Macaca fascicularis: one gene and its partner. The protein of the gene in region 1 interacts with the protein of each later gene in a biochemical or structural test. Links are inferred from orthologs where the notes say so. Each region holds a gene or a part of one and is shown in the gene's direction. Other genes may lie near its edges.

Evidence for each region.
Region 2: the proteins of COPA (region 1) and COPE form a complex in vitro, tested with the Homo sapiens proteins (3 studies listed by BioGRID, with this or other methods). The link is inferred for Macaca fascicularis from reciprocal best matches to the Homo sapiens genes COPA and COPE.

The regions. Positions count from the first base shown.
Region 1 is NC_088375.1:100,765,883-100,769,382, forward strand, and holds part of COPA (coatomer subunit alpha), read left to right. Parts: intron 1-622; coding exon 623-700; intron 701-818; coding exon 819-887; intron 888-1,426; coding exon 1,427-1,563; intron 1,564-1,849; coding exon 1,850-2,036; intron 2,037-2,118; coding exon 2,119-2,229; intron 2,230-2,552; coding exon 2,553-2,714; intron 2,715-3,370; coding exon 3,371-3,500. UniProt on the Homo sapiens protein: The coatomer is a cytosolic protein complex that binds to dilysine motifs and reversibly associates with Golgi non-clathrin-coated vesicles, which further mediate biosynthetic protein transport from the ER, via the Golgi up to the trans Golgi network.
Region 2 is NC_088393.1:19,302,548-19,305,492, reverse strand, and holds the end of COPE (coatomer subunit epsilon), read left to right. Parts: intron 1-1,520; coding exon 1,521-1,589; intron 1,590-2,020; coding exon 2,021-2,095; intron 2,096-2,241; coding exon 2,242-2,289; 3' UTR 2,290-2,445; downstream 2,446-2,945. UniProt on the Homo sapiens protein: The coatomer is a cytosolic protein complex that binds to dilysine motifs and reversibly associates with Golgi non-clathrin-coated vesicles, which further mediate biosynthetic protein transport from the ER, via the Golgi up to the trans Golgi network.

The DNA.
Region 1 (3,500 bases):
GATATGCTCAAAGAGGAGAGGATGTAGGACTTATCTCTAATCTGATGCTTAACTCCCATTGAAAGAAAGAAGAATGAGGTAATCAGCGTTCTTCCAGCAGCAGCTTATGAGAAGGCAGCACCTGGAGTTTTTGATAAGTCATTTTGTCACTGGTGAGGTGGCTCCTCTTTTGGCAGTCTTCTCCCACAACTATCACCCCTCTTCCTCAGTGGAGGCAGGGAACAATGTAAATGGTTGTGTTCTAGATTCAACAGAACAAAGTGCTTGAATGGCCTAAAAAATTACTCAATTTGGCTGGGCACGGTGGCTCATGCCTGTAATCCTAGCACTTTAAGAGGCTGAGCCAGGCAGATCGCTTGAACTCAGGAGTTGGAGAACAGCCTGGGCAACATGGCAAAACCCCATCTCTACAAAAAAAATACAAAAATTAGCCAGGTGTGGTGACTTGTGCCTGTGGTTCCAGCTACTCGGAAGGCTGAGGTTGGAGGATTGCTTGAGCATGGAAGGCAGAGGTTGCAGTATGCCGAGATCATGCCTCTGTACTCCAGTCTAGGTGACAGAGTGTGACCCTGTCTCAAAAAAAAAAAAATTACTCAATACTCCATTTTTGGTTTTCCCCTAGGATATATCCCCTGGGGCAGCTGGTGGGGCTGAAGATGGTTTCTTTGTGCCCCCAACCAAGGGAACAAGTCCAACTCAGGTAAGCAGGAAGAAACCAGCAGGGATGAGTGGCTAATACTCGATTAGTGTATAACAGGTGTTGGAGAATAGAGAAGAACAAAGTTTCACTTGGCTTGGGTTTTCTTGTTTCTTGTTAGATCTGGTGTAATAACTCTCAGCTTCCAGTTGATCACATCCTGGCAGGCTCTTTCGAAACAGCCATGCGGGTAAGTAACCTTGGCTTTTCCTCTTGAATGTGCCTAGCCCAGGGTCCCAGGGAGATGGTTGACTCATTTTAATCAAGTGAAATTATCCTACCCGCAAGGGCAAAGGTGTATATTTTTCATGAAAACTCTTTGTTAAGTACACTTGACTTTCTGTTATCTGCCTTCCACTTGGCCTAGTAATCTTTTAGGGCAGATCCTTCAGTCATCTTCCACCCATTTATAGCTTGCTTTCTGGCTCACATCAGTGAGATAAGTACCCCTTCCCAAGCAGAGGTCTGTTTTGAACACTAAGCCAGTATTGTTATAACAACAACAATAATGATAACATTGCAATAACCGCTAACGTTTATTTAATGTTCACTATGTGCCAGGCACTATCCTAAACACTTTAATAGGTATTATTAAATGAGGTAGATCTTACAATTAAATGTATTTTACTGATGAGGAAACGTGAACAGAGAAGTTAATTACCTTGCCCAAGGAAAAGTAGCTTTTTATGCAGCAGGGCCAAAATCCTTGTTTCTTTCCTTCTGTTCCAGCTCCTTCATGACCAAGTAGGGGTAATCCAGTTTGGCCCCTACAAGCAACTGTTCCTACAGACATATGCCCGAGGCCGCACAACCTATCAGGCTCTGCCCTGCCTACCCCCCATGTATGGATATCCTAATCGCAACTGGTAAGGCTCTTCGCTCTTTGCTTTCATCTGTTCCAAGTTATGGTCGATATTTCAGATGGTAGCCTCAGTGACATAGTCAGAATTCTTTCAGAGCTAGGGTTTTCCAGTAGAAAAAAAGATCTTTGGCTTGTTACTCTATGGGGTTTGGTTTACATCTGCTGTCTTTGACAGCAGCTACTTTTGACAGGAGACAGGAGGGTAGCTATGAGGATGTTTGCCAGAAAAGGAAATTGGATCCTAGTTGGCTACTGACTATCCCGTCTTCTTCCTACTTTTCCCTTTCCAGGAAGGATGCAGGGCTGAAGAATGGTGTACCAGCTGTGGGCCTGAAGCTTAATGACCTCATCCAACGGTTGCAGCTGTGCTACCAGCTCACCACAGTTGGCAAATTTGAGGAGGCTGTGGAAAAATTCCGTTCCATCCTTCTCAGTGTGCCACTTCTTGTTGTGGACAATAAACAAGAGATTGCAGAGGTAAGAGGGTCTAGCCACTGTCCCAGTTCTGGGCACTCCCACATTCTTGTCTCTGTATCCTGACCACCTGCCTCCTCTACAGGCCCAGCAGCTCATCACCATTTGCCGTGAGTACATTGTGGGTTTGTCCATGGAGATAGAAAGGAAGAAGCTGCCCAAAGAGACTCTAGAACAGCAGAAGCGCATATGTGAGGTAAGATCTATAGGACCCTGAGTACAACAGAGACGTCCTTCCCTTCACCCTTCACTAGGTTTGAATTCTTTTAATTTCAAACCCAGATCTGAGTGGGGACGAAGAGAAATTTAGGCCCTTCATTTCTATGAGGGGAGGATACATTTCTTCACCCTACTTCCTCATCTCACCAGTCCTCCATACCTAGGAGGCAGAAGACCTCTCTGCTTTATAACCCATCCTGTTGTGTTGTGTTGTGTTTTCTGTGCATGTGTAGCAGCTTAGAAATGACCTCTACCAGGTGTAGCATCAACCTGGCATGTGTTCCTCTTTCTGTCCACCAGATGGCAGCCTATTTCACCCACTCAAACCTGCAGCCTGTGCACATGATCCTGGTGCTGCGTACAGCCCTCAATCTCTTCTTCAAGCTCAAGAACTTCAAGACAGCTGCCACCTTTGCTCGGCGCCTACTAGAACTCGGGCCCAAGCCTGAGGTGGCGCAACAGGTAGATGGAGCTCCTTCAGTGACCATAGGGAAGCCAGATCAACTCTTACATGGAGGGAACAGACCAAGGTCCTTGCCTCTGAAACAAAGCAGTAAATAACAACATTCAACAAAAAGAGCCAACAGAATGCTACCTTCTGTTTACTTCCTGACTTGGTGCTTCCTTTTTTCCTGGAAAATTAATAGTTTATTGAGACATGACAATTGTCTAAGAGTGCTGTGCAACCTAGAATAGCTCCACTGCACCTGAAAGTAACCCCAGTCCTGTCCTTAAGCTCCAGATATCCCATCACAACCACCACAAAGCTTCACATACACATCTCATTACTTGTGTCCTCCAAATGCATTCTTTTTGGGTGATGGAAGTCTGTTTTAACCCTTTCTAGGACCTGATCCTGATAATCTCCAGAGTTGGTGGAGGAATGTGGGTCTAGATTATGGAGCCACTTTTGTATTAAGGAGGGGAAAGTTTGATACAATAGGAATGGTGATTGTTAACCCTTCACATACATCCAGTACAGAGGTTGGGACCTCTTTTCACCTAGTACAGTTGTATCTCACATCAACGGAACTACCAAACCATGGTGATGGGATCCTTTTGAGGTGTTGTCTGCAGCTTTCCATCCTCCTAAATAAAATACTCCTTCCTTTTCCTAGACCCGAAAAATCCTGTCTGCCTGTGAGAAGAATCCCGCAGATGCCTATCAGCTCAATTATGACATGCACAACCCCTTTGACATCTGTGCTGCATCATATCGGCCCATCTACCGTGGAAAGCCAGTGGAAA
Region 2 (2,945 bases), on another chromosome or scaffold:
ACCTCGCCTGGCTAGTTTTTTTGTATTTTTTAGTAGAGACGGGGTTTCACCGTGTTAGCCGGGATCGTCTCTCGATCTCCTGGCCTTGTGATCCGCCCGTCTCGGCCTCCCAAAGTGCTGGGATTACAGGCTTGAGCCACCGCGCCCGGCCTATTTGTTTGTTTTTTGAAACAGGGTATGCCACCACACATGGCTAATTGTTGTATTTTTGGTTAGAAATGGGGTCTCACTGTGTTGTGCAGGTTAGTCTTGAACTCCTGGGCTCAAGCAATTCTTACCCTCCTTGGCCTCCTAAAGTGCTGGGATGATAGACGTGTGCCACTGTGCCTGGCTGAGAAACAGTTTTAATCTACTGACAAACACTGGTGAAGCCCTCCTCCCTGTCTGACTTTCCAGGGGCTGAGTTATCAGAAAGTTGTTTGCAGAGCAGGGCAGGCCAAGGGGTGTCAGGCTGGCCCCATCCCAGGCTGGGTGCTGCTCCTCCTGGGCAGCGTCCATCTTTAGCTCTGAGCAGTCAGGGCTGGTCAGGAACTCAGCATCTCAGACAGGCTGTGTGGCCCTCGCTGCCCCAGGGGCGAGACTGGCGCCTTCCTCCACCACCCTGCCCCTCACTGCCACCTGAGAACACTTGGATGCGTGTTCTGTGTTCATGGCCACATCCTCTGGGGGCTTTTGTTACACCTCTCAGGTGACGCATTCCGTGACTCACCAGTTAGATGACTCCCTTGTGTCCTTGTCTGCTGAAACACCACCTGGGACTGGCTGTCCGTGCCCGTTGGCCCTGGTGGCCTCCCTGTGGCTGTGGTTACCCTGCATTCTTGCTGAGTTTTGGGAGGCACTCAGGTCCCCCCACTTACCTTTGGAGCCAACTCATGGCTGCTCCTGTGAGCACAAGCTGGTGTCCCCCTTCGTGGTGGAGACTGAGGCTCAGAAAAGTTCGCTCTCCAAAAAGGTGCCCTGCCATCGGCCGCTGTGGGCAGGCTGGGCTCTGGGCCCATCCTGGCTGGTGCATCTGTGCTCCAAGCAGACACCGGGGCTCTGGCTGGGTCTCCTGGCCTAGGTGTTTCGTAGGCTCCTGTGTGCCGGGAGCCTAGAGTGAGTGGGTCAGGCAATGTCCCCTGCCGAGGTTTCCTTCAAGGCTCCTTGGGAGCCAGAGGCGTGGCAGGTCCGCCCATGGCCTCAGGGTTCATTGTGCAGGAGGAGTTGAGGCCATCTGGGCCTGGGCCCCATTGCTTTGAGATGTATGAGACAAATATACCCTTCCCTCTACAAACGAGGGGTCACGCCCCAGGCTGGACCACAGATGGGGAAACTGAGGCTCAGTGAGGTGGCTGGCCCCTTGGCACCGTATCATCTGAGATCACCTTGCAGAGCAGTGGGCAGGGGGACTCTGGCAGTGTCGATCCCACCCCACTTCTGAGGAGGTGACCTTGTGTGGTCCTGCCCAAGGTGGGGGTGACGGGCAGGCATGGGGGCTGGAGTGGCTGACCCTGCCTGCCTGTGTCTGCCTGTGTCTCCAGGACAGTGGCTACCCGGAGACACTGGTCAACCTCATTGTCCTGTCCCAGCACCTGGGCAAACCCCCTGAGGTAAGTGGCCCCCAGGGCTCCAGGCCAACCCTAATATCCCGACCCTGGGACCCCATCCTGGGATCCAGGCCCTAATCCCTAGGCTTCTGGGAAAGCTCTGCACACAGTGTGCCCACCGCAGCCTGCCTCCCTCACAAACCCTGCGCCCCCTCAACCCATCCTCACCTGGGGCCCTGCCCAACCTGCTCCCCTGAACCCACGGTACATTCCCTACCACGTACAGAGGCCAGCTCCGTGCCAGCGCCTTGTCAGGGGCCGACCCATCCCTCCACCCCCACCCTGAAGGTTCTCTGAGATCAGCCCAGTCCCAAGGCAGGATGAGGAGCCCCCTGGGGTATTGTGGCTCTCACCCCCATCCACCCCGTGCTGCAGGTCAGAGCCACCGTGGGGTCCCCACGTTCGACTCACCTGCCTTCCTGCCTCCCCTGCAGGTGACAAACCGATACCTGTCCCAGCTGAAGGACGCCCACAGGTCCCATCCCTTCATCAAGGAGTACCAGGCCAAGGTGAGTGGCAGGGGTGGCCTGTCCCTGAGAGCCAGGCCAGAGGGCGCCTGGAGCTCAGCCTGGGCTCACATGTGCCCTCTCTCTCTCCCTCCACCCGTCTCCCCACACCCCGCCCCCACCCTGTGTCGCCATGTGTCTTGCTGAAGGAGAACGACTTTGACAGGCTGGTGCTACAGTACGCTCCCAGCGCCTGAGGCTGGCCCAGAGCTGTCAGGACCACGAAGCCAGGACAGAGGCCAGGAGCCCTGCAGCCCTCCCCGCCTGGCACACACCCCACATCCCCTCTGGGGGCAGGAGCCCGCCCCCAGCACTCCCATCTGTGAATAAATATCTCAATGCCAGCGTGTTCCCACCTGAGGATGTGCTCTGGCCACTTTGCTGGGGGGTGTGGGGGCTGACGCTCAGGGAGAGTCCCGGGGCACTGGCCCCCAGGGCTGTTCCCGGAGACCAGGGTCTGTGACGAGCAGCAGCTGTGCAGACCCCCATCCCGCCCCTCACACAGCCACAACCTGCTCCTGCCAAGCCAGAGGCAGCACAGCCCTGTCCCCACACTTCACCCTGGCCCCGAGAGGCCACTGAGCAGCCCAGGTTGGCATCGGGGGAAACTGAGGCACAGAGCGGTCATGCCACTATCATGAGGGGCACCAAGATTCAAAATGAGAACCCCTGAGTGGTCTGGAGGTAGCGGGAGCCAGGGCAGGAAGCACTCAGGCCTCAGCTCATCAAAGCCGGAGGGGCCCTGCGGGGTCAGCATTAACCCCAGGAAACCCTCCTCCAAGGCAGAGCCCTGCTGTGGCCGGGGCCCCGGGGCCAAGCAACCAGCTGCGATGAGAGGCGGCTGCACCATAGG